Coturnix japonica: one gene and its partners. The protein of the gene in region 1 interacts with the protein of each later gene in a pairwise test. Links are inferred from orthologs where the notes say so. Each region holds a gene or a part of one and is shown on either strand. Other genes may lie near its edges.

What was found.
Region 2: the proteins of C23H1orf94 (region 1) and GSE1 interact in binary tests that used the Homo sapiens proteins (3 or more experiments, as listed by UniProt). The link is inferred for Coturnix japonica from reciprocal best matches to the Homo sapiens genes C1orf94 and GSE1.
Region 3: the proteins of C23H1orf94 (region 1) and BANP interact in binary tests that used the Homo sapiens proteins (3 or more experiments, as listed by UniProt). The two-hybrid records come from large-scale screens. The link is inferred for Coturnix japonica from reciprocal best matches to the Homo sapiens genes C1orf94 and BANP.
Region 4: the proteins of C23H1orf94 (region 1) and GCC1 interact in binary tests that used the Homo sapiens proteins (3 or more experiments, as listed by UniProt). The two-hybrid records come from large-scale screens. The link is inferred for Coturnix japonica from reciprocal best matches to the Homo sapiens genes C1orf94 and GCC1.
Region 5: the proteins of C23H1orf94 (region 1) and T-box-containing protein TBX6L interact in binary tests that used the Homo sapiens proteins (3 or more experiments, as listed by UniProt). The link is inferred for Coturnix japonica from reciprocal best matches to the Homo sapiens genes C1orf94 and TBX6.
Region 6: the proteins of C23H1orf94 (region 1) and PLEKHB2 interact in binary tests that used the Homo sapiens proteins (3 or more experiments, as listed by UniProt). The two-hybrid records come from large-scale screens. The link is inferred for Coturnix japonica from reciprocal best matches to the Homo sapiens genes C1orf94 and PLEKHB2.
Region 7: the proteins of C23H1orf94 (region 1) and MAPK1IP1L interact in binary tests that used the Homo sapiens proteins (3 or more experiments, as listed by UniProt). The two-hybrid records come from large-scale screens. The link is inferred for Coturnix japonica from reciprocal best matches to the Homo sapiens genes C1orf94 and MAPK1IP1L.

Annotation. Positions count from the first base shown.
Region 1 is NC_029538.1:4,086,562-4,090,676, reverse strand, and holds the start of C23H1orf94 (uncharacterized protein C1orf94 homolog), read left to right. Parts: upstream 1-1,315; 5' UTR 1,316-1,401; coding exon 1,402-1,634; intron 1,635-3,932; coding exon 3,933-4,115.
Region 2 is NC_029526.1:15,698,913-15,702,064, reverse strand, and holds the end of GSE1 (genetic suppressor element 1), read left to right. Parts: coding exon 1-41; intron 42-135; coding exon 136-258; intron 259-345; coding exon 346-696; intron 697-915; coding exon 916-1,182; intron 1,183-1,377; coding exon 1,378-1,481; intron 1,482-2,397; coding exon 2,398-2,532; 3' UTR 2,533-2,652; downstream 2,653-3,152.
Region 3 is NC_029526.1:16,147,893-16,151,392, reverse strand, and holds part of BANP (protein BANP), read right to left. Parts: intron 804-3,500; coding exon 660-803; intron 1-659. UniProt on the Homo sapiens protein: Controls V(D)J recombination during T-cell development by repressing T-cell receptor (TCR) beta enhancer function. Binds to scaffold/matrix attachment region beta (S/MARbeta), an ATC-rich DNA sequence located upstream of the TCR beta enhancer.
Region 4 is NC_029516.1:516,954-521,034, reverse strand, and holds the start of GCC1 (GRIP and coiled-coil domain-containing protein 1), read right to left. Parts: upstream 2,801-4,081; 5' UTR 2,608-2,800; coding exon 1,474-2,607; intron 278-1,473; coding exon 1-277. UniProt on the Homo sapiens protein: Probably involved in maintaining Golgi structure.
Region 5 is NC_029530.1:7,255,187-7,259,336, forward strand, and holds the start of T-box-containing protein TBX6L, read left to right. Parts: upstream 1-1,350; 5' UTR 1,351-4,150. UniProt on the Homo sapiens protein: T-box transcription factor that plays an essential role in the determination of the fate of axial stem cells: neural vs mesodermal. Acts in part by down-regulating, a specific enhancer (N1) of SOX2, to inhibit neural development.
Region 6 is NC_029524.1:1,001,502-1,005,001, forward strand, and holds part of PLEKHB2 (pleckstrin homology domain-containing family B member 2), read left to right. Parts: intron 1-560; coding exon 561-663; intron 664-1,559; coding exon 1,560-1,599; intron 1,600-3,260; coding exon 3,261-3,350; intron 3,351-3,500. UniProt on the Homo sapiens protein: Involved in retrograde transport of recycling endosomes.
Region 7 is NC_029520.1:51,141,109-51,145,407, reverse strand, and holds the start of MAPK1IP1L (MAPK-interacting and spindle-stabilizing protein-like), read left to right. Parts: upstream 1-1,499; 5' UTR 1,500-1,628; intron 1,629-4,299.

The DNA of each region.
Region 1 (4,115 bases):
ACACGGAGCAGGGCGAAGCAGCCGAGCCCGGCTCGGGGCCGCCCCCAACCCCCGCCCTGCTTTTGCTGCAGTTGCTTTGCTGCAAAACCCCCTTCTTGGGGCTCGTTCCGGTTGCCCTGAATGAGCTTATTTGACAGCTTAAAAACAAATGATATCGAGGGCTCGCAAATCTGCCCCTCCGCCCTCGGATCCAGCCTCTCTCTCGCTCCCTTTTCCCTGTGTCCCCTCTGCATTTGAATCCTTCCACTGCCTACACTGTGAGCCAATGCCAAGAGCCAAGGCAACCAGCGCTGTTACATGAAAGAGTTGCTTTATGTCTGCTTAAACTGCAGTGTCCTATTCAAATAGACCTTATTGTTCAAAGGCACGGATCCAAATCGAAAAGGATCACAGAACAGGGTACCACACTTGACAGCTCTATACATCGCTTCTCCCTTACACAGCCATCCACCTCGGCCCCCAACCCCCAGGCTGTAGCCGGAGATGCAACTGGGTTGCTGCACACAGCAGAGCACAGCCGAGCCAAGGTCTGGAGCCCCGCACCGGGAGCAAGCAGCCAGCATAATCGAGTCATTGAGGAGACACAGTCCCACTTTATTCCTGGGCAATAACGCCATACCTATTGCAAATGAAGGGCTCCCAACTAAGCGTGGCCCCACACCTAGCAACGAAAGCTTACTCTCTCTTTAAGAATAAAAAGTATTTATTTGCTAAATGCAGTGTGATGAACGTAGAATCCATCACCATAGCCAACATCTATCACTGCAACTCATCTCTCCTCCCTGCCCAAACAGTGAACTTTGAGAACCCGAGAGCTTGGCAAGGGCACATAGAACAAATGCCAATACCAGGCACAAACCCCAACCCATGTCCCTTGGACTCTCCTTTCTCTCTTCCCCCCAATGAAGATCACAAACACAACCCTTGGTGATGAATGAGGAACCACAGAACCATTCACACTTAGGGAATTATGCCAGGAATTGAGAGAGTTTCACCACTAGTCATCCAGCATAGGAATGCAAAACATCTTACTAACTACCACATTTTACTCTTTCTTAACCATATCATCACTATTGGTAGGGAGAAAATAACATTTATCTGGGCAGAGGCATGAGTGAGCAGAGCCATGCGCTCTTTGGAGCTTCATCACCTGCGCATTAAATGGAAGAGGCAAAGCTCCAGTACAGAAAGAAGGGGGCAGGACAGCTGAATGCTGACCCTGGAAAGACAGGGATCTAGTTTATGAGAGGGGAAGCTCCCAGCTGTGCCAAGGACAAGCAGATATTTCAGTTATCAACTGCCAGGACCTGGCGTTCCGTGGTTGCCACGGCTCTTCTTTCCGTTTGCCATGTAAACAAAACACCACTCAAGAAGATAGCCTGGATGCATAGAGGCTGAAGGATGCTCACCAGCATAAATGGGTTTGCAGCCCCAGCAGTGAAATCAGAGGGGCCGTTCCCACTGGGGCCATACCCACGGCACATCTGGATCCACGACAACACGCCCCAAGACGGGCTGGACAAGGCCTGCCATGAGATCTGGAAACGGATGCAGAGCCCCCCCGAGGAGCTTCAGCCCATCATCTGCATGGACCCACAGGGACCCCCATGGAGCAAGAACGGTGCCCACAGCGGGTGAGTGACCACCAGCACTGCAGGACAAGGGGCTTGACTCCAACAGAGCCCTCATAACCCCTAGAAACAGAGAGCTGGAGCACAGGGGTGCTGTGTTGGCTTTGGGCAGCCTCTTAATGGGACAGAGTATCCCCATTTGTCCCAATATAACCAGTCTTTTTGGGAGAGCTTGTCCCATGAAAGCCAGCTACTTGAAAATCTGAAGCACCACAAGCAGCTGCTGCTTTTGCTTCCCCACAACATTTAAAGCAAAACAACTACACACACATCAAAATATTTACAGGAAGAAGTGAAAGCAGCATTCAAAAGGAACAAAATCGAAAATTAAAGTGTTATAAGGAAGCTACTGTAAACAGCTGATCTTTACAAAGAGAAGCTGAATTTAGCACAGAAAAAATTATGCCAAATCATGTTCTGCGGGACAAATGGTGATAAGGGAGGGAAGGATGCTCTTCAGATTAATGGGATAATATTTACTGTATGCTCCTGAAGTAGAAAAAGAGTGAAATTTACATGTCCAGCTATCAATCAGCAAGTTATTAGCTCGTGTCCACTTCTTAAAGCCTAAGTCACACATCTTGCCTGATACAGTGAAAAACAGCTGTCGTATCTTTTAAGACTAACATCACAGATTGAGAAAGCTGATAATTCGATGCTTTTAGCTGAAGACGTGGAGGATCAGAAGGGGAAATGCCCTATGCTGTGTCACTGTGAAACCCAGGGAGTACATCTTGGAGCCCTGACTCCTTTCCTTTCCCTTCCATATCCATAACAATAACAGTAATAACTGGCCTAGAATAAATGCACAAAGTGAAACCAAACAACCCAAGAATAACCAGTGAAGCCAATGGACTTGCACTGGCCTACAGCAGCAGGTCAACTTATGCTGCTGAAACATCTTGACAATTAGCACAAGCTCAGCCACGTAACTTGGTCATGCCAGCTGCTTGGAAGTCCAAGCAAAGAGATAAGGTATAAACCACTGTGAACTATTAAACGACATAAGCAAAGCCACCATTAGAAATATATAGGTTCAGTTTTTAGCAATTAATCTAATGCAGTGAGAGCAGCCCACCCTGCAGCCCACCCTCACGCCACTGTAATGGGGTTGAGGAAGCAGATAAGAACGATTTGGGACAACCAGCAAGGACCTGTAACAAACTCAACACCTCCAACTAAGATGAAATTAAACAGCCAGCAAAGCGCAGTGGCTAAAGCACCTTCCTCAGGGTCAGAGAAATGATTCATTGTTCTCCTGCTGATCTTTGAGTTACTTTGGGCAGCTGCTCTGACCCTTTCTGCCAGCAGCATTTCCCTGCATTCAGCAAACAGGCTCTTCAGCAAAGAAGTGCCCTCAGCATACACTCACACAGTGCAGTTCATTGCTCACCAGCTATTCAAAGACACCCCCCTGAGTCAATGAACCTTCCAAAAATACCAAACCTGAAGCAATGAAACCAAATCGCTGTACAGAATTCAAGGGAACTTCCTTAAAATCCCTACAGGTGAGGTCAGGTGTCCACCTCCAGCCTCGGAGGTGGCTGCAACCACCAATGGAGAGAGGAATCCCAGTGAAAGATGGGATAAAGCATTGTAGAAAATAAGCTTTCTTTGGAAATGACAGCAATTTTCTATTTTTATGCCCATAGTATAGGTTTGTTGAGGATTTTAAGGTATCTGTTCTTTAAAAATAGGGAGATAAAGCAGCATCCTGCCAATTATGGTGATCCTATGATTAGAGATAATTAGCTACATTTAACTATCCAGATTTCACTAATATTAGCAATCCATTTATGTACTATATATGTATCTGTACAGTGCATGCACAGAGCATCACTTCCCCTCAAGCTGAGGAGAGTAAATGGATGATACGTTAAGTTATTGAACATACCTGGCTGTGAAAGAGCAACGTGGAATTTAAAGGAGGATTTTGAGTAGGGAACCACTACAAACACTGAGTTGTGCCTTAGAGACACAGCATTGTTCAGCCCTGGCAGCCACCCCACTGTAAGTCCTAGAGGACTTCATGGCTTCCAGTCTGAAACGCCATCACCCAACTTCAGTTATTCCCAAATAGGTGTGTTAAGTTCAGATTTTGTTTTAATTTTCCCATTTTATGTGGTTCTTTGGAGAAGAACAGTGTCCTGGAGGTAGGTTTCATTCCGGTTGAGAAGGAATACTCGAGGCTTAAACGGAGCATAAATGAAACAGAAATGCAAGGCATAGAAGCAGTCAAGAAAATGAGTTCAATCTAATGTCAAGCTCTCAACAGAATCCCTATATTTCACATTCTTACAGGGACTGGTTGCTAGATGAAACAGAGGGACTTGAGAGCATATACAGAGCAGTGATTGGAAACAGAGAAAGAGAGATGAAATTAAGAGCTCTCTGCGATGCTCAGCTTTCTGCTAAATCCACCATCACCAACCTCCTGCGTTCAACAAGCTCTCCCAGGATCTCCAAGGGGTTGGGGGACAACAG
Region 2 (3,152 bases), on another chromosome or scaffold:
CATCTTCAACCTCACGCACATCAGCGCCGAAAAGAGGAAAGGTAACGCCATGCCCCGTGCTGGGGTGGGGGTCCCCGTCCCCGTGCCGCGGGGCTGCCTGGTGCCCGGCTGAGCAGAGGCTACACTAAACCTCAGCTTCCCATGCGGCAGACAAGGAGAAGCTGGTGGAGATGCTGCAGGCCATGAAGCAGAAGCCCACGCCGGCTGCTGTGGTGGTGAAGAGCTCTCCGCAGGACAGCCCCATTGGCCCCAATGCTGGTAAGCTCCTCCATTCCACTTTCCCTATTCACCTCCTGTGCCCAATTGGGCACCACTGTGCCAACACTTCTCCTTATCTACCCCAAGAGCCACCGCTGCTGCTGGACCCCGATAAGCCTGTGGGTATTGTCACCTCCGTGCCTGAGGTGCAGAAGCCATCGGAGCCGGGCAGAGTGGAGCCTCTGAGAGCTGCAGAGCTGCCCAGGGTGAAGGAACCAGCTGAGAAGCCCCGGTTGAGCGATGGGCACACGGGGAAGAAGGCACTGAGCATCCTCAGCTACGTCAGGGGCCCTCTGCCCAAGGACATCCCTGTGCCGCTGTCCCACAGCATGAATGGCAAAAGCAAACCTTGGGAGCCCTTCATTGCTGAGGAGTTTGCCCACCAGTTCCACGAGTCCGTGCTGCAGTCCACACAGAAGGCGTTGCAAAAGCACAAAGGTACCGAGCCGGGGCAGGGACCCCATGGGGATATAGGGAGGAAATCTGTGGGTTGGCACTGTGGGAAAAGGCATTTGTTAACCCCAGTCCCAGGGAATCCCTGGGAAGGATGATGGAGAGGCAAAAATGTGCTGGGAAAACACAGCACAGGCAGCAAAACTCATTTGTGGGGCTGAGAAAAGTCAGCAGGGAAGGGGGGCTGACACTCTGTGCCTGCAGGGGGGACGGCGGAGCAGAACCACAAACTGGACGCCTCCATCCACTACAACATCCCTGAGCTTCAGGCCTCCAGCCGCCCTCCTGCCCCACATAATGGCACGGCTGAAGGGCACAGGGCACTCGCCCCACCGCTGCCACGGGACCGCCGTGACTCGGCCTCTGAGGATGAGGAGGAGGAAGATGAGGAGGAAGATGAAGAGGAGTGCCCCAGGCCCAAGTGGCAAGGGATCGAGGCAATTTTTGAAGCTTACCAAGAACATATAGAAGGTAAGGACTGGGGAATGGGGCTTGGTGGGGTGTTAGCCACAGGGCCATGTCACCAAGCATCACGTCATGCCCTGCTGCCCCCAGGCTTTGACAGCCAGACCTTTCCCACCCTGCTGGCAAAGGGAGGAGGTTTTGTCCTGGGGCTGGCAGGGAGTGATGGCTTTCAGATGCTCACCCCATCCCTGTGCATTGCAGAACAAAACCTGGAGCGCCAAGTGCTGCAGACACAGTGCCGGCGGCTGGAGGCCCAGCACTACAGCCTGAGCCTGACAGCAGAGCAGCTTTCGCACAGCATGGCGGTGAGTGGGGCTTCTGGGGGGGCACCTGGACTCCGTATGGCACCCTGGCCTCCCAGAGAGGCACCCATCCTTCTGCAGGGTCCCCATTGTCCTCTAAGGTCCCCATCCTCCTGCAATACCCCCATCCTCTTGCATTAACCCCAAATCCTCCCTCCTGCAGCTCCCCATTCTTTTCAGTCTCCCCCATCCTCCTGCAGCACCCCCAAATCTTCACTCACTGCCCCCATCCCCTGCAACCTTCCCATTCTCTTGCACTGTCCCCATTGTCCTACAAACACCCCCATCCTCTGTAGTGCCTGATCCTCCTGCAACGGCCCCATACGCCTGCAGTGTCCCCATCCCCCTTCAATCCCCCCTATTCTCCTCCAATGGTCCCAGTCCTCATGCAGTCTCCCCATTATCCCCAGCCTTCTGCAATGTCCCCATCCTCCCCTAAGGTCCTCATTCTCCCCTAACATCCCCATCCTCCCCTAACGTCCCCAAATGTCCCCATCCTCCCCTAATGTCCCGATCCTCCTTAAGGTCCCCATCCTTCCTTAAGGTCCCCATCCTCCCCTAATGTCCCCATCTTTCCCTAACATCCCCATCCTCCCCTTAAGGTCCTCATTGTCCCCTAATATCCCCATCATCCCTTAAGGTTCCCATCCTCCCCTAATGTCCCCATCCTCCCCTAACGTCCCCAAATGTCCCCATCCTCCCCTAATGTTCCCATCCTCTTTTAGGTCCCCATCCTCCCTTAAGGTCCCCATCCTCCCTTAACATCCCCATCCTCCCCTAATGTCCCCTCCTCCCCTAATGTTCCCCTAAGGTCCCCATCCTCCTGCAGTTCCCCATTCCCCTCTATGTTCATCCCATCTATGTCCATCCCACCCCCTGCACCTCCCTGACCGTGTTCCCTTTTCTTTCCTCCCTACAGGAATTAAGGACCCAGAAGCAAAAGATCGTCTCAGAACGAGAGCGACTGCAAGCGGAGCTGGATCACCTGCGGAAGTGCCTTGCCTTGCCTGCAATGCAGTGGTCTAGGGGTTATTTCAAGGGGTATCCCAGGTGACGCTCCTTGGGCCGGGCCGAACATAATAGTCTAGAAATAATAATAATCTATTTTATTACCTTGAATATTTAATATTTTTCACTGGGGAGGTTTGAAGCTAAAAAAGAAAAAAAAAAAAAAAAAAGAAAAAAAAACGAAGAAGAAGAAAAAAAAAATAGAAGGAAAAAAAAAAAGAATAATAATAATAATAATAAATAATAATAATAATAAAAAAGAAAACGAAACAGAGAATGTGCCATGCATGAAGCAAAGGGCGGCAGGAAGGGGGGGGGGAGGAAGGAGGGGAAGGGGGGGGCTCTGACCTTGTGTCCTCCCCCCACCCTTCTGCCCCCCTCCCCACCCCCCCCAACACACACACACACTTTATATCGCTCATTTCTTGTTTTCTAAGTCCTGATGAAAGACTCCACCGCCCACAACACTAAGGCTGGAGGAGCCCTGCAGGGGGAGGGGGGCACCCCTTCCTTCTCATCCCACCCCCCACTTCCCATCACCCCCCCACCCCCCCCCAGCTTTGGGCTCCCCCAGCACCGCACTCGGCTATAACCAATAAAGTCCATGAACCCCTTGGAGCAGCGCTTCGTTCCTGGGGGGCACAGAGGGGGGAGAAGGGGTGGGGA
Region 3 (3,500 bases), on another chromosome or scaffold:
CAGCCAGATCAGAACTCTCTGCAAAACTGGGTATCTACGTGACAAAATTCCCTTCTAAGATTGGTTGCTGAGGATAACATTATATCCTGGCTGGTAAGCCAATACATCTCTCACAAGCATTAGGGATTCTTTAGGAAAGGAGCCAACTCCAGTTGGGTTCATGGAACAACTGCTTCTTTTGTATGCCTGCACTGCCACCAGGCATGACTTTGGGCTGGTTCCAGCCTCAGCTACGTGACTCTTCAAACTGACCAAGGAAAGAAAGAAAACACACCTCCTCCACCTTAACTGAGCCCATCGAGTGTTCACTTACAATTGCATACATTGCAGCTCCTGTGGGAAATCCAGGCTGTGGATTAAAATAACTGGAAAACTTCTGTCAGAAAGAGAATAACTTTTTAAAGAGAAACCTCAGTCTGAAAAACACTTTTTGGATAGTTTCCGAGCCAGTTTTTCCTCCACGTCCTGTAAAAATGGCTCTCAGCCCTCAAGGATGCAGAAAAACAATGGTGACCAAAATAACTGTTCTCTGGGGGCAATGAGCAACAACGCCAAAGAAGGAATAGTCAATAACCACTATTTACCTTTAGGAAAATTATCTTAATAATTTGGCATATATATTTATATACACATATCTCTACACATATATGCAGGCATACTTGGCTGGTTGCAGAGTGGTCTGTCACAGGTGTGAGCTGCACATACTGGACTTGGATATCGCTGCCTTGCAGTGGGGATCCATCAACTCCTCCTGATGCAGGCTCGGCAGATGCAACAGCTATCAGCTGAGCACCCTGCAACACCTGCAAGCAGAGCAAAGGAGAAACAGCTTGTGAACAGGCACAGCCAGGAACGCATTAGGAAACATCGACCTGAAAACAGATGCAACAACCAAACATGATTCAACAGAAACTTGAGAAAATATGTACATCAGTAGCAGTTTAAATAATGTGGGTCCCAAGGAGGTGGTACACACATGGAAGATTCTCACATAAGATTCTCACTGCATTTTGCCTTATGAGACCTGTATTCCCTGGAAGGGTTAACGGGCACCACACCTGGAAAGGTTTGGCTCCCTTATGATCCTAAACACAAAGTAAGTCATCCCCTATCTGTATCAGCACTAGCAAAGGAATAAATCATCCTGGTGGCCTGTGCTAAATAGGTCCATTTTAATTCCAACTCATTCTAACAACAGTTAGCACACTAAGTCACCAGTCCAATTACCACGTCTATATTCTCTGAGTGCATCCAATTCCCTACCTGCAACCCAAGCAAAAGCAAGGCTTGTAGACTTAAGAAGCCAAAGAGAGGGAAAAACCAAAGCACTGATTATGCTGTATAGTTTGTAAGCATGAGATGGTCTGTTTCACAGCTTGCAGCTATGAAAACTGATCTGTTTATTCTGCCAGCCGGCAGATGAGCGCAGCAGCTCCATCAGCTCAGGTTCCTCATAGGATGAGCTCTGCAGCCACAGCACTGAACTGGGGGAATCTGCTTTAGAAACCCCTTCTACTTGGTTTTATGATGGCAGAAAGAGAGAGGGTGGAGGGAGGGGGTAACAAAAGGCAGACACTGAGTTCACTTCTAGCATCCTCACACCTTCAGGTTGAAGATCAGAGGGTAGAAGCCAGGTTTGCTGGGAGGAAAAAAAGGAACTTGTTCAGTTTTGCTTGCTTGCTGCTGTCTCTTTGCACGGAAATATTGCGCTCCCGTGGCTGGGAAACATTTCAAAAGAGGTTTTTTTGGCCAACTGCTTCCAACGAGAGATAGTGGCTTTCCTAAGGAGTGGGCTGTTACCGCCCTCATGATAAATGACACCTCCCTAAGCGCTGCAAAAGATAATTGATGAAGGGTTCATAATTCTGCTAATGATTATTGCAAAGGGTAAGTGGGACAGACAGAGCAGTCAGCGCTGCTGTAATGTCAATAGCACACAGCCACCCCCCAGCTAATGTGTTCACTGTTATATAAATAGAGAGACGGAGCCAAGATACTTATTCTCACAGCCAAACACATTCAACTTATGACAATTTGTTGCAGCAATGTTTATCTTCCCATTGTACACGAAGGTGTAGATTTACAAATTACTGCTAATTAATGCTCGCAGCCACTGACTCTACACATCTTCATGCTGGCTGGTTGAGGCTGGGTCCCCTGTTAGCCAAAGAGCAACAAAAGAGCAGATGCTTCACCCAAAATCGCTTGCTTAAATGCATCCCTGTGACGAGAGCGACTGTAATTTACTACTTAAGTACAACTCAGAATAAAATATACATATGTGAACAACAGCAAGTCCCCCGATCTCATTTCAAAATGCAGCCAAAATACACAAATTCCGTTTAGGTTTCTATATGCTGTGAGCGCTGTTTTGTTTTTAACTACCTCTGGTATTTGAACCACAGCGCTCAAAAGATGCCTTTCAAACAGAGGAAAGAGAACTGAGAGCAAAAATAACATTCTGAACAAAAGCTTCCCTTACCCAAGTATGATTTCCCAGCTGATGGGAGGGTGGGTGGCCGTGAAGGAGTGGGCAGCACAACCCCTCCCTGGGGAGTGTGGGAGGCCAAGAGGTGACCCCTAGGAAGGACCTTTGGGGTGTTGGCAGGGTTTTATGGGGATCTTGGGTGTTCCGAGATACGGTCAGCACTGAGCTGCAAAAGGATGCTGCGTTCTGTTTTTACAGGAGCAAGCAAAAGCCTCTTGTCCTGCACTATTTACTTTGGAACGACATGATACGCCCTGTCAGAACTACATGGCAGTCTGTCCTATTGATTATCCGCAGCTCTAAAATGCATCTTGTCTCATTAACTTCCAAAGCACAAACTTCAGGATGACTTCAAGCAACCAAACCAGCCCCTTTCATGCACACAAATTGCTTTGACAACAAAGAAGCCTACAGCTGCTAACAGCACCAGCTTCCCTGTCTTAGGATGTGTAAAAGGACAGAGTTCATACAGCAGATCCAAACGGATCCAAACAGACCCCCTCTAATCAGGGAGAGCAAGCTTACCAAGATAAAAGCCCCAGCCCTATGACTTCAATCTGCCTCATTTCATATTGTTTATATATTGTTTATATATAATATATTCGTATTCACATTCCATTGTGTTTGCCAATACCACAGGTTTTATAGGGAGGCTGCAAAAATGACAGATATCAAGGGATCAATGGCTTTAAGTAGAGCAGTGAAGGAGTGGTAAAACAGAGACCTCAGCAATAGGGGCAGGTGTGAGGATATGGCTTTTCTTTGGCTGCTCACTCGGCTCCCAGACCAACACATCGACTTTGTGATTCTTACCTGCCCTTGACCTTAAAATAAAGGAGTTGTACCACAAAAATTAACAGTCTGCCCTGAAAATGAACCTCTGAAATGAGCTCTGCTGGGCTCCTCTAACATCCTGCCTCGCTGCTCCAAAACAGGTAACAGAATATGGTTAAACCGAAAAATAATAAACTTTCCTTCTAACAGAAGGGATTAATTCGTGCTCTGGACACCC
Region 4 (4,081 bases), on another chromosome or scaffold:
CCATCTTATCCTTGAGAACGTTCACATCCAGATTGGCTTCTTCCACGTTCACATCAGCAGGGGATCGGCTGGAGGCTGCGATGGCCAAGGTTTTGTTCTCCTGGTCCAGCTGCACGATGCGATCCTTCAGTTTCTGGATGACCATTTGGTCCTTCTGTTTGGCCTTCTCGTAGGTGCCCAGCAGCCCTGACACCTCAGAGACCTGCCCCTCCAGGTCGGCCACGCGCTGCTCCTCCATCTGGGCGTGCTGCCGGAGCTGCTCCTCTGCTTGTGCAGTCTGTAAGCAAAGAAATGCAGCGGTGTTAGACCACCCTGCAATTACACAGGCCTTCATTCTGCTCTGAACAACTCCAAGCAAGCACAGGGACACCCTTTCCCTAGTTTCCAAACAATCCTCCCCCACCCCACACTCTCACACGCCCATCTTTAAAACAGAGACTCAAGGATGAAACAAACCGAGTGCGTTTCTGTATTTGTTCCCTGCTGTTAGCAGCATTAATGTGCATTGCTGGAGGCATGTGCAGGGCATGAAGCACAAAGCTCACCTCACTGTGGGATTTTTTCATGTCTGAGTGTGCCCTAAAGCTTTCCTACACCTAACTGTACCTAAATGCTAAGCTTTGTTACACCAATATTAACGTAATTCAGTGGGCTCTGAGTAGCTACAGCAAACACTGGAGCTCACAGCTTCTATCACCATCGAGATCTGACCTCCTAAAGAGCACGTGGAAGGTGGCACCACTCCTCAGTCCCCACTGTGAGCCAAAACACAGCTGGGATCAGCCCATCCTCAGCCCTGTCGTACAGAAGCTGCTGGGTATCACTTCCAAAACAAGGTTAATCGCATCCCATCAGCCCGAAGCTGATAATTAGAGGCTTCAGATTAGAAAGCTGAAAACTTATTCCAGACTGTGGGGAAATGAGGATCCCATGCTGGTGTCCTTCCAGCTGCCAACTCAGCAGCAAAGCCCTCCATCCCTCTGCCCCACAGCCTGCAGAGACACACAGCAAGATGCACAGCCCAGCACCTCGCTCAGCAGGCCGCCCTTATCGCCCACCTGCCTCACCGCTCACCTATTACAGTTCCATGCAGGGGGATGTGGAGGTCAGTTCCCTTTAAGAGAGTCCGAACCGAACCTTGCATTGCATTTATGATGAGAGCACGCTCATTGCCACTGCTCTCCTCCCAAATCCAGCTGCTGCTCGGAACCAAGCGATGCTCACCACGTAACTCCCACAAAGACTGCTCCTAAACCACCCGTGGTTAACTGATTTATACACTGCATTGCCAACAGCTTTAATTTTCCTCAGGGTATATGATCCCATCAGATGAAACTATGGTATTTTCTCCTATCTGAAATCTTTCGGACTTTGTGGCATGTGGCACAGGGAGAATTTGGGCTCCTCAAGCCTCCATCTGCTGCTCTGGTACCCCCTACATTGGGCTGCTCTAGGGCTCAAGCAGGGAATTACCTTCCTCATCTCCTGCAGCAGCTGCGCTTGGAAGTGGCTCTTCAGGTTGGCCATCTCCTCCTGCAGGTCTTGCACCCGGGGGTCCGGCTTCTTCCTCTCCTCCTGAACAGCCTGCAGTTCTCTCTTCAGCTCCTCCACCTCCTGGCTCAGCTGCTTGATCTGCAGCTCGTAGCCCTCAGCACGATCAGCCATGCACACCCGGCCGGCCAATGCCTCCCTGGTCTCCTCCAGCTTCAGCTCAGCGTCCTGCCTCAACGCCCTCTCGCTCTGCAGCAGCTTCTGCAGCTCCCTCAGCATAACAGCGTGGTCGCTCTGCTCCTGGGCTCGGTCGTGCTGCTGCGTGATCAGTCGAGCTTTGGTCTCTGCCAGCTGCTCCTGTACAACCCTCAGCTCCGTCTCCAACCTGTCAGTCTCATCCTCCGCCTTTTTAATGGCGTCATCCAGGTCCTGCTTCATCTTCTTCTTGTCGGCTTGATATGACGCTTCCATGCGGGACTTCTCCTGCGTCACCGTGGACAGGGCGCTGGTCAATGTGGCCAATTGGCTCTTCAGCTGCAGCACCCGCTTATCGGCCTCAATGGCAGCACAGGGCACGTCCCCATTGCTGTTACTGGTACCAGTACCGACCTCGGAACCATTCCCCTCATCTGATTTAACAGCTGCTGCGTGTTTCTCATCCTCAGGTCCCTGCTCGCCCTTCGTGCTGCCCAAACTGGTTGTTGTGTCCACGCTGGCGGCCGTTCCCATGCTGTCCTCGCTGTGAACTGAGCTCTTATCATCCATGGGATCAACATGGGGAGAGCTGGAAGGAGGGGAAGAGCCGGAGGGGAGGGAAGAGCTGGAGGGGAAAGAAGAGTTGGAGGGAAGGGAAGAGCTGGAGGCAAAGGAAGAGCTGGAGGGGGCCACAAATGGAGCCTGAGCCCCATTTAACCCAATGTCGGCCTCGTGGGACGCCGATAACACCTTCAGGCTGGCCTCCAAGGCCTCCTTCTCGTTGATGAGGCTCTTGTAGGCGATGACCACGTCCTTCAGCCTGGCCTGGTAATTCAGGAGCTGCTTCTTCTGCGACTCGATGGTTTCCAGCAGTTCTTTTTTACTCGGGCCTCCTCCGAAGTTCATACCGAATTTCTCCATGGTTCCGGGATGGGGGTGGGCCTGGGGGCGGGTAGGTCGCAGGGCTCAGGCCTTACCTCCGGACCGGGCCGGGCCACAGCAGGCCGCGGCCTCCAGGCCCAACCAACGAGTCGGTACCGGCAGCCAGAGCGCCGCCGCACACCTACTTCCGGCCTGCTTAACTTCCGCCCTCCCACCTACTTCCGCCTCGTTTAACTTCCGCCCCTACTACTTCCGCCCTCCCACCTACTTCCGCCTTGTTTAACTTCCGCCCTCCCACCCACTTCCGCCCTGCACGTTAAGCCCCGCCCACTGGAGGTGACGCACCCCACGCTGCGCATGCGCAAAGTGAAGGGTTTGGGGCGAGGAGCGGCCACCAATCAGGTGTCAGAACGGAGCAGAGGGGGCGGGGCTAATAGGATTGGGGGCGTGGCCTTGTAGTCTGGGGGCGGGGCTTAATGAGGGGGCGGGGCATCGTTGTATGAATGAGGATGAGGATGGGGTGAGGGGGGGGATGGGATGGGGATGGGATGGAGGGGAGGATGGGATGAGGATGGGGGTGAGGATGAAGATGGGATGAGGATGGGATGAGGATGGGGATAGGGATGAAGATGAGAATGGGGTAGGGATGAGGATGAGGATGGGATGGGGATGAGGATGAAGATGGAATGATAAGAATGAAGAGGAAGAGGAAGATGGGATGAAGATGGGGTAAGGATGGGGATGGGATGAAGATGAGGATGAAGGGGAGGATGGGATGAGGATGGGATGGGTGAGGATGAAAATGAAGATGGGATGGGATGGAGATGAAGATAAAGATTAAGGGGAGGATGGGATGAGGATGAAGATGGGATGAGGATGGGATAGGGATGATGATGAGGATGGGATGGGATGGAGATGAAGGTGGGATGGGGATGAAGATGAGGATGGGATGATAATAAGGATGAAGATGAAGATGGGATGGGGGTGGAGATAAAGATGAAGAGGAAGATGGGATGAGGATGGGGATGGAGATGGGGTAAGGATGGAGATGGGAGGAAGGTAAGGATGAAGGGCATGAAAAGGGGAGGATGGGATGAGGATGTGATGGGTGAGGATGATGAAGATGGGATAGGGATGGGATGAGGATGGGAATGAAGGTGGGATAGGGATGAGGATGAGGATGGGATGGGATGGGGATGAAGATAAGGATTAAGGGGAGGATGGGATGAGGATGTGGGTGAGGATGAAGATGAAGATGGGATGGGGATGAGGATGGGATGATAATAAGAATGAGATGAGATGGGAATGGGGATGAGGAATGAGATGGAATGGAATAAGAATGAAGATGAAGAGGAAGATGGGATGAGGATGGGGATGGGAATGAAGATAAGGATGATGGGGAGGATGGGATGAGGATGTGGGTGAGGATGAAGATGGGATGGGGATGAAGATGAGATGGGAATGAGAATGAAGGTGGGATGATAATAAGAATGAAGATGAAGATGGGATGGGA
Region 5 (4,150 bases), on another chromosome or scaffold:
TTTGAGGTATGAAGACTGAACATTCGAATGTCGTAAATGAATTTGTCCATTGAAAATGATCGTTTTTCTTTATTCTTCTAAACATTTTGCTTTTTTCCTCCCCTCCCAGTTCCTGTTAATGTGCATGATCTTGATCTGTCTTTGATTTCTAGCCCTTCTTTTTTGAGAAGGGTTTAATGTTTTGTTGAAGAAAGATTAGAACAGTAAATGAAGCTGTTCAACTCAGCTAAGAGTCCTGAACATTGCTCATCTACTCTTAAATGTTTGTAATTCTTATTCAAATGTTTTATCTGATTTTCTCTTTTTTAAATCTATAATCTTTTATTCCCATTATGGTCTCAGGTAGCTGGAGGGCTTTTTGTCAATCCCAGGAAGTTATTGAGATTGGTGTGACTGCACAGGCCACCTCCTTCAGATCTTGTTCTTCTGCCAGTAGCTAAATGATGTGTTGTTTGATGTGACAGGGCTGTCTTCCACACTGGACATTCTTGCTGATCTGTGCTAAAGGAGCCATTCATTTTGTTTATGTGAGATTATTGAATAGTAGAATGGCTTGTATTGAAAGGGACCTCAAGGATCATCAAGTTCCAAACCACTTGCCACAGGTGGGGTTGCCAACCACTGGATCAAATACTAGATCAAAACCCCCTCCATTCTGCCCTTGAACACCTCCATAGATGGGGCATCCACAGTCTCTGTGGGCATCCTTTTCCAGTACTTCACCACTCTCTCTGTGAAAAACTTCCCAATGTCCCTAGAGCTTGAAATCATTCCCCTTATTTCTTATTTTCTTATAATCTCCCCCTTTGCTCTGCTGCTCTGCCCTCTTCTGATGCAGCCCCTAGAAACCAAACTCTGGAGAGAAGATGCCAAGATGATTGGATGCACTGCATATCATAATATGCACTGCATATCATAATATATGTTTGTCTGAAGCACGCTGCCAAAAGTTATTTTGGAGGAAGATCTTCAAATCCTTTATGAACAGAAATATGCACTTAATATAGCATCTTCTGAAGCCTGGCAGTCTAGTTTTGTGAAATTTTCAAGGGAAAAAAGAAGCCTTATGATAAAACTGCAATGAGTTAGTGGGTAATTTCTTTGATTTCAGTCTAATTCTAGTTGTTTTAGCTTGATATCCAAGCATAGGCAAGATCAGACTTCTAACTCCTTCTTTTCAGTATTGCAGATCAAATATAAACACAATATCTATCTAGAGGATTTACTGGATAAGCACTGCATCTGAAATCTTTGTGTTCCAAGATGTCCTTGTGATGTTGTGCCAGACAAATAAATAGCTGCTACTGAAGTATACTGCTTACACACACACACACACACACACATATGTATATATATATATATATATATTTGTTGTTTTTTTCCTGTGAGGCTGAAGGGAAAAGAATGTCTAATGCCTGAAGGAAACATAAAGGTAAGTTCTGTGTTAAGTTTAAGAAGCTGTTTTTGTCATGTGAAACCAAAAATCGATTATAGGTTAATGCTGTAACATCGGAAGACCTTTAAAGATAGAAATGTTTGCCAAATAAAATATATCATCCAACTGAAAATTCATTTTTGTTTAGAATAATTGGAGCAGATCTGCATGTTGTTGTGGTTGGAAACAATTTCCCATAGGAACAGATAGAGAAAGAAAAAGTACTTATTACCTGCTTCCTGCACGGTGGGTTTTTTGTCTTTTATAACGTAAGTCTCATGTGTGTGGCTGTGTGCAGCTGCGATACTGTTCTGTGGGAGCCTTGCTCTGGATTTCTTTAGGTCACTGCTGACCCTCAGGAAGAGTCAGTCTTAAAGCACATATATACAGAACGCAAATGCTGGCATTATTTTTTGCTGTACTACCCCCAAGCCGTCTATACAGCAGTTATATGAGGTGTTTGCCATGTCTTTGCTTCCATACCTGGAAAGGCTCCAATGCAACCTCACAGCACTGTAAGTATGGATGCCAAAGCACTTTCCTGTATATTAACTCCAAAATATGTTCTGTCCTATGAGTGGATTTATCTTTAATAAAATTCTGTGTGTGAATAAAAGCCAGACACACGGCATGCCTGGCTGGAAGGCCATCCAAAGGTGTCAGGGTGTGTCTATAGACATGCCCAGCATTCGTCCCGTGCTGGTCTGAAGTTACACTAGCTGCTGTCTTAGCGCTAGAGGGTGCCCTAGGACAGGGAAAGAATAAGAGAGGAAGGATCTGTCTTTACATTTCTGAGAGACAAAATTACATTGTTGTTTTTGACCTCAGGTACTTCCAAGGGCCTTCCACAGCTCTACTAACCCATATGTCCTTTTTGTACTTGTAGAGACTGATTCCAAGCAAAGGGATGAAGGGAGAATCTTCACAATAAGTTTAGAGTATTCTCTCATTCATGATCATAGCAAAAACAAACAACCCACCACCAATAATACTGATAATACAGTTAGCAAAAAACACCCAGAAAGGTACGTGCTCACTCTGTTATTAATATGACAACTCTGGCATGAAAAGAGATACACTCAGTGCTTTCTTTTCATATTAAGTCTATTTGTCTCCTATTTTTTTTTCCCCTTATGAAAAACCTACTGGGTATTTCTCATTAACATTCACTGCACCATATCAGAAAGAAAAGAATATCTCTTGACAGTCTTGTGCTAAAAGGCTCAAGTGGTACTTTAAGCTTTATCATTGTCAATCCTGATTAATCCCACCTGGTTCTTTACAATAACATGGGGTTTGTGTCACTGTGACCTGCACCTGGGGGTAAGTGATAGATGTGTAGCTCACAGCTCTGTAAACCATTTTGAGTTCATTTCATTAAAGAAAGTCTTAATTAAGGGCAAAAGCACATGTGAGGATTAAGAAAGAAATATGTAGCTTTTAAGCTTGAAAAAAATCTGGTATAACAATCTCTAAAGTAGTCAGGAGCTGAGATCAATTACTGTGGTCATCTTGCAGAGATGTGCATGAAATAGGACAGTGAGATGGAATTGGGGCTGTGAACTGACTGCAGGATCAAAAAAACAATCTTCTGCCGTGGGGAAAAGGAAAGTCGCACTTCTGCCCACAGTCAGGAGTTATCTGTGCGACTAGATGATTGTATATATATCTTAGTACAAAAGCATTCAATTATATAACCCCAGTGGGAGGAATACTTCTCAATGTCTAAGCACATCATCATATTAAAGGAAACTGCCTGTCTAAAACTAAGTCAACAAATGTGTTAAAAAGTGATTTTGCTGTGAGATCAGTCACTGATACCCCCTTACATTTATTTCTCAGCCTATTTTTTCTCTCCCTTCCTTTTCAAAGACACAGTAAATTAAAGAATAAATTGAATATAAATCAGTATACATGGTAGGATCATATGGGAACCAAACTGGAATGAGATTAGTTGACAAAGGTCATTTGTCAGTGTTTCAGACGTAGTATTTCCTATGTGAATACTTGTGACTCTTAATGTATAACTGCAGTTAGCTTAAGAACTTGACTGTGTATTCACTTTCTTTTCTTTTTAATTGTTAAAGGTTTTTGCCAGATTTGGAGGGCTGTTCACAAGAAATGATTTACAGCTGAGTTTAATTTACAAATAGTCATTGCGTGAGTTATCTAATGTAGCACTGACCACATGTTGCTCAATAATAATTAGAAAGGATAATGTATGAACAGCAAAGCTTCATTCTCTACAAGAGAATCAGAGAACACTTCTAATGTAAATCACACTGGAGATACAGTTTCCTTAGGTTATACGCCCAGATGCTTAAACAGAGTAATTTTCTCTTCTAAATATGTGCTTCTGTATACTCTGTTACTCCTTCAATATGTGATCATTTGCATTTTCTCTTGAGAGCTGAACTCAATGTATTCTTAAAGAATAGTTAGTTAATTGAATCAATGTGTAAAAGCACTGTGCTATATGAATGTTGGAAAGCATTAGTTTGAATATGAAGTTGTGTCGCTTAGGAATGTCTAGACTTACGTTAGATTTCCATCAGATTGGAGTGGGTAAGAAAAATATTAAGGTTTAGAAATTCATAGTGAAAGTTATTGAGCTTGCAACATCAATTCACAATGCTCAGGTTGTCAGTTCAAGTTCAACCAATTAAGAGTGCTGCTATGACTCTCCCAATAGATAACACTGCTGGAAACACTTCC
Region 6 (3,500 bases), on another chromosome or scaffold:
GTGATATCACCATGTGACAGATTAGGTTAGTGCTTGGTACTTCCTTTTACAACTCAATGAGGACAGTATACCTTACATGCAGGTGGCAGGCTTGCATGAGAGACCAGGATGTTTGCAGTAGGCTTGTGTGTTTGATCATGGAGTGTTACTGATGAAATTACAGTGCTGGCTGGAGGGAGAGATGGGATACAAAATGGTGAACCTTAGCAGATTTTTCTCAAGCGTTACAAAGTTCAGCTCTGGCATTTATTAGTACTCCATTTGATGTGCATCAGTGCCCAACATAAGTGTTGGGCAATACTTACAGCTAGGTACAGGTTGGTTCAGCTGTAAGACAGTTGCATTTATTGAGCTAGTTCAAAGCCAGTTACCTTCAGGATGTATTCTAAAGAGAGCAGGTTATGTCCTACTATAAGTTGTTTTGATGTCATGGAAAGCAGCTACAATTGGCCACAGTTTATTTTGTCAGGAGTTTTGCATAAGCTGTCGCCCTTCTTGTAAATGGGACAGTGAAATTCTGGTTGTAAATTCTTCTTATCTCTTCTTTTTCCCCAACTCAGATTTCCAGCCTCCGGAGGGAAAGCAGAGAGACTGTTTACTGCAGATTGTCTGTCGGGATGGAAAGACCATCAACCTCTGTGCAGAAAGTGCAGATGACTGTTTGTAAGTCTACCTAATAATGTTATTTTTTGCTACTTTTTCTTCTTTTATCTTTTTTTTTTTTTTTTTTTTTTTTTCCCCTCTCCTTACTGTTCTTCCTTCAGTTTTTCAGGGATATATTTCAAGAACATTTTAAAGCAGGATTTCAGCTACAAAAAAGACGGCTCTTCCATGAGTTGTTTAACTCACATAGATGCAGTTCTTGCAAACTAACTGCAAGTTTAGTCACTGGAAACACTGGGGGATGAGAGGAGTAAAAGCATCTTAGTAATATGGCTAATGCAAAACATTCTGAATAGGTTTTATTTTCACTTCTCTCCTCCTTGAAGTAGACCCTGCGTAGCCCAAGGAATTCCCAGTCATTAAAAAGAATAGTACTCCAGTACTGTGACCTTGACTGTGTTTAGGTGGATAACATCTATCACCAGTGTTTGCCAAGTATTCATAGTTGTAGGGCACGCTGTCAGCCATACAGCATGGGAGTATCTGCAGGGAGTGCGTGTGCCTTCTGTTCAAGCTGCACAGATGCAACTCTTCAGGAAGAAGATACAAGTTTTCTGATGCATCTCTTCCTATTATTTTGTCCTAAGCATGGCTTTGTATCACTTGCCTGTTGGACTTGCAGCAAAGGCCTTCAGATGTGTTCCTTATCAGGGTCCTTTTCTTGTTCCTTCTTACTCCATCTCAGCTCTGCTAAGGAAATAATTATTTTTAGTCTTGGTGTAACACTTTGATGCATTCATTTTACAGTATCATTAGGCTTTGACACATGGTGCATCTGAAATTCTGCTCCTGCATTACCTGGAGTTCCTAACATAGTTTTCTTCATAGTACTAAAATGAATAAGAGGCATTCATTTTTATCTGTGTTCCACTAAACGTTTTTTGTTTTTTTGACAGGGCATGGAAAATTGCTCTTCAGGATGCCAGGACAAATGCAGTAAGTGCATTACTTTATACTGAAAACCTCTACTAGAAGGTTATGAAGATGATTAAAGCTTATATGCTGGGGGAGGAGTGTGGATCACCTGCATGTCATCCATGCAGCCAAAGTGAGGCAAATACGGACTGAGTGATTTCTGAGAGTAATTTCTCTGAGTGAGAATAAGTGGGAAGCTGGTCTGTATAGGAAGTGTGCACTGAGGCTTTATGCAAAAAGTAAATCTGTAACCAGTGAAAATGGACTTTCTTTTCCTTCTATTTGTGGTCTACCAAGTGCTAAAGGAAGCTTACTATCAGTATACTACACTTTTGACCTAAAAAGGAAGATGTTTTTAATGTAGATCCATTATAGAGCAGGATGGCTCTTGGCAGAAAGCAAGAGGTACCTGGAATGAAGCGTAGGTATGCCAAGGAGTACGTTACCTCTGCTTCAGCATGCTAGCTGTGTTTAGCAAAGAGTTCAGAAACCAGAAGAATTTCTCTGTGAGTCATAGAGCTCACCAGAAGTGGTATCTTCTGGGAGCTGTAAAGATCTTCTTCCTCCAGACTGCCTTCCAGAATGCTTTTTAGCCCTGTCTGTCCTTAGATGAATAGATTGAACCAGCCTGAGATGTTTCAGTGGGAAAATGCAGTATTTTGAAGAAGCTTGTTTCAGTGTTTGATGGGTCACATTAAAATTGCCTCTTCACTGACACATCTGTCATATGATATAATTTAGATGCCCAAAGCAAACACATGTCATTGCAAAACTATTCTGGACTCAATTGCCAGCGTACAGCTACACTATGTGTGTTATTTTGTTAAATGAGAAGTTAAGGAGTATTCCTCATGCAGAGGACACAGTACTCATAATCTGTCTGCTCTGGATTTAGTGTATTTATCTTGTTGTATGTGAGACAGTGACTCCTGATTTCAGGAGCCTTTGTTTTTCATCCACCTGATACTATGCCCCGTGACATTAAAAACCTGCCAGTGCCTCAACTTCTTCAGCCAAGGCAGACCCCGGCCACTGAAAGTAGGGCAGACAGCTGTCTGCACAAGATATATATGAAATCAGTACTTTCCAGAGCTATTACAGCTCTCCAACTGGACTTGAGCTTGGTCAGGAAATTGGCTTTGAGTCCATTTGCTGGTGCTTGATACAGCTTTCAAAAACACAAAGCTTCTAGTAGTGCCTCATAACTTCACTGGAATAACCAGATGATCATCCTAGCTTTGAGAACTATGTCACTTAAAGACATTTGCAGGCTTATGTCCTATGCCTGTATAGAGTTTCCTGCAGCAAAACAGAATACATTTACTGCTGAGAATTGAGCACTCATAGAGCTTCATCTCAGGCATTAGAAATACCTGCCTCTTAATATAGTGCTTTTAACAATGTGTTTCAAACAATTCTTAGAATTTCTACCACAAGTTTCCTTTAGGATATGTCCATAAAACACCATCAAAAGTCCTTCTGTAGTCCAGTTAGAAGAGCTGATAGGAACATTATCTGTTGAGCATATTAAAGCATATAAAGCTTTATGAGGCACTCTCTGCTTTCTTAACATGCAGCAGATCTAAATGTTCTCTTGGTGTCATTAAGTTTTAAACCCCTTCCTCCTCTAATTGGCTGTCTGCACAAAAAGGTGTTGTCTGCTATCTTTCCATGGCATTCAGGGCTACGTTGGATCTGACGTGATGTATGATGAGACAGCGATTTCCTCAGCCCCTCCTCCCTATACAGCTTATGCTACACCATCACCGGAGGTAAGAGTTGTAGTTGGGAAGCATTAATATAAGAGACGTAGTAGAAGGAAGCATCCTTCAAGCACCCAAACTGTACTCCCAAAGTGCTGTGTTTCATAGACACATCCAGCTTTAAGGTTTGTACAGATGGACAGTGGGAATGAGGCACTA
Region 7 (4,299 bases), on another chromosome or scaffold:
CATTATTTCATGTTATCATCTGTCAGTGGGATCCGTGGCTGGAAGCCAAGCAGCAAACGGCACAAAACTCATTGAGAGACTGAAGATTGCAACACCGGACCAGAAAACAGTGTCAGCAATTGGGCAGGGGGAGGGGAGAACAGGAAGAGGATTGCGAAAGGCCTGGAGCCATGAGGGAGGGAGAGGGTGGGGAAGAAGAGACAGTCAGGTGGGTTTCACTGATGTGAATTTTCTCATTCCTGTTCACTGAAGAACAAGTGAAGGGAACTGTCCCTGCTGCCGCCAGCCACAACCTGCAGCTCTGAGCTCTGAAAGCAGCTCGTGCAATGGCCTGATGTGTGATCAGGGCTCTACTGATGTGTGATCAGGGCTCCAGCGTGCAAAGAAAATGTACCCCAAGAAATCCACTCCTTGTCACAAGGCACCCATAGTGGAACACCAGCGACTGTCAGTGTCTGCCATGACAGCTCACCTGCTCATAACTTACTGTGTCCAGGTGTGGAGCCCTCAGTACAAAAAAGACATGGAGATTTTGGAAAGGGTCCAGAGGAGGGACAGGAAGATGATCAGGGGGCTGGAGCACCTCAACTATGAGGACAGGCTGAGGGAGTTGGGTTTGTTCAGCCTGGAGAAGAGAAGGTTGCGGGGTGACCTCATGGCAGCCTTTCAATACCTGAAGGGAACTTACTTGCCAGGAGGGGGTAAACTCTTGGAAAGGGCTGATAATGGCAGGACACGGGGAAATGGTTTTAAGTTAAAAGAGGGAAGATTTAGGTTGGATGTTAGGGGAAGTTCTTCACTAGGAGAGTGGTCAGGCCCTGGAACAGGCTGCACCAGGGAGGTTGTGGATGTTCGCGTCCTTGGAGGTGTTCAAGACCAGGTTGGACGGGGCCCTGGGCAACCTGATCTAGTAAAGGTGTATGTTTGGTGGCCCTGCCAGGCAGGGGGTTGGAACTACATGATCCTTGAGGTCCCTTCCAACCCGGGTCATTCTGTGATTCACAACAAGCAGCAGCGCTTCCTTTCCAGCTCCATCCAGTTCATCTCATCTCCTCAATAGGGCGCATTTGCACTTTGAACCAGTTTTATGACTTTATCTTTACTTCAACAAGCTTCTGCCTTGAGAAAGAGCACTTATTAACTCAGGACAACGTCATTTTTGGATGTTGTGTTGAGGAATATGATTTAGGCGGGAAGTATTGGTAATACTTGGACTAGATGATCTTCTAGATCTTTTCCAACCTTGATAATTCTGTGATTTTCAAAGCCATTTATTTGATGATCTCGCTGTTCCATCCCATCCCCATCCCTGCAGGCATTCAAGCCCAGGCTGGATGTGGCTCTGGGCAGCCTGTGCTGCTGGTTGGTGACCCTGCACACAGCAGGGGGTCGCTCCTACAGCTGGGTAGGGCACAGTGTGTGTGGGGTGGGGGCTGAAGGAAGTAATGGCGACATGGGGGCGGTGTTAATGGCAGCGGGCGGTGCTTCTGGTGCTCGCCCTTCCTGTCGCTGTTAGGGCGGGCCGTGTGACGCAGTTCCTGTTCCTCCTTGCCGTAGCGGTGTTGGTGGTGCTGCGGGCCGCCCGCTGCCTCCACTCCGGCCTGTGCTGCGCTGCGCTTCTACCGCAGGTACCGGCCCCAACACGGGCACCATCACACAGGGATGAGGGGTGGGGATGGAGGAACGGAGCTATGGGGTGCAGCGCCCCTCCCTACAGCCATAGGGCCGCCCCCGGGGGCTGCTGGGCCGTGCCCATCCAGGCCCTGTGCAGCGGGGCGGTGCCGAGGGTCGCGGCGCTGAGGGGAGGGGCGAGGAGCTGAGCTGGATGGGCTGGAACAGCGATATAGGGCTCGGGGGGAGGGGAGCGACCTGCTGCGGCCGGGGGGTGTGCTGGGGGGATCTGGGCTCAGCCTGTGGATGGGTATAGAAATGATGTATAAATAACTGTGAAGCGTTTTACGTGGAGAGAAATGCAAGCGGTTATTGCGTCTGTACCTTCAGTGGGAGGGAGGGATACTGAGTTGGGCCTAAAAACCCACCTCTTAAATGGTTGAAGAGATGGGGTTGGACTCGATGATCTCCAGGGGTCCCTTCCAACCCCTACAGTTCTGTGGTTCTGTGATGTCCCCAATCTGTTGTAGCTTGTGAGAAGTCGTTTCGTTGTCTCAGGTGGTGACTCACTGACAAAGGGAGCACAGTGCACTATTGAAGAGCCCTGGACTGCTTATCAGCTGCTTATGAGCTGCTTATGAGCTGCTGATCTACCTGGGGAGCTGCTTATCTCCCAGGGAAGGGGTATTTTGAGGTGCATCCCATGGAAGGCACGAATCACCTCCTGCTGTTTGTTCAACCGTTTAGTCCGGGGATGTAGGAAACAAAAAGGCCTTTATTCTTTAAATAATAGCTCTTTTAAAAGGCACATCCCAAAGCTTCCCTTCCTTAGGTGGGACCGATGAGAGGAGAGGCACTGTAGGTATTTTTGAAGCTGGAGTTCATTCAAGCAGACCTTAACAGTGTGAATTCAAACATGAAAAGGTACCAACCGCGTCCATTTATTGAGGCTGTATCCTGAAAAGCTTCCTGGAAAGGAATCTCTGCAGAAGGGTGTGGAGTTTAGTTCGTCATCGGTGAGGCTGATACTGGCAGATGACACAGAGTTTTGGTGTTGCTTTAAAAACAACCCGGTGCTGGAGGACCTTTGCTAAGTGCTCGTGTTTAGCTGACAATTCACAAGTATATAGCGTTGATAGGAGGAAGATGGAGGTGATCACCCAGTCCCAACCCCCTGCTGTGTGCAGGGTCACCAACCAGCAGCCCAGGCTGCCCAGAGCCACATCCAGCCTGGCCTTGAATGCCTGCAGGGATGGGGCATCCACAGCCTCCTTGGGCAACCTGTTCCAGTGCGTCACCACCCTCTGGGTGGAAAACTTGCTCGTAAGTTGTAGCCAGGATTGAGCTTTGGCAATGGACACTTGCAGTTCTCAGCAGTGATTTCTAGTCGCTGGTTTGGGCATCATCTGTTTGTAAGCACCTGAAGTGATCAGGTCTCATCTTAGGAAGGGGGGCAGCTGTAAAACGGAACAGCTTGTCTTATATGGAGGAACAGAACAGCTTACAATTCCTTCTGGCTGTATATTTTACAGGTCTTGGAAACTGGTAAGACTTGTGTTTTGAATTGTTTTTTCTGGTAGTGGGTAATTTATAGCAAAGGCGCTAACGAGCATCATTGTGGTTGTCATTGTGGATGAGATCAGTGCTGACAATCTGAAGCCTAAAAACCCTCCTTCTGCCTTCTTTTCCGTCAAAGCAGGCGTAGGAAAGAACAGAAAGATCGCCGCATCGAAAGCAGCTGCTAACTATGAATCTGTTGCTTTTCATCTTCGGTCTGACTGCCATTTATTCTCCTAATGGGTAAAGGCGCAGGTCAGGCTAAATGGTTGCACAGTGCTCGAGTGTGGCATCTTTGAGATGATCTTTTAGACCCTAAAAATGGAGAAGGGACAGCTATAAACTGCTGGTGCTTGAGGCCTAAATGGAGCAGCTGCAGTAGAAGCTGTCATTGGTTTCTTTTCCATTTGATCTGCGTAGCTGTGTTGGATAGTTACAGTTATGTGGGCAGGACTCCTGTTGTAGATGAGGTTTTGCTGGTAGGCATTAGTCATGTCACAGTGACAGAAGAAGCTCTTTGCTGATAGAGCTGTGCCACCCAGTGGAAATGCAGCTGTGCCTGTTGTTGCACTGAGGTTTTCTGTTGTTGTTTGGAAGATGATCTCGGGGGAGGCAACTCTGAAAGGGCAGATAACAGCAGGACAAGGGGAAATGGATTGAAGTTGAAGGATGGAGGATTTAGGTTGGATGTCAGGGGGAAGTTCTTTACTGTGAGAGTGGTGAGGTGCTGGAACAGCTGCCCAGAGAGGCTGTGGATGCCCCGTCCATCCCTGGAGGTGTTCAAGGCCAGGTTGGATGGGGCCCTGGGCAGCCTGGACTGGTATCAATTGTGGAGGTTGGTGGCCCTGCCTGTGGTGGGGGGTTGGAGCTTCGTGATCCTTGAGGTCCCTTCCAACCAGGGATATTCTGTGATCTCAGAGATGGGAACTGAATCTGTCACATCAATAGTGAGCAAAGTGCCATGCAGCTGATGAAGTTATGAAAGCAGTTTGAATCGCTTTAGCAACAGAAGGAAGAAGGGTTTGGGGCAGCTCATTCTAATGGCAGTCACCAGGGACCGGTGATGGAGAAAAGCCAGGGAGGGCAAGAGCATGGGAAAAATGCTCCTGCATCGCTCATTTCCATGTGGTT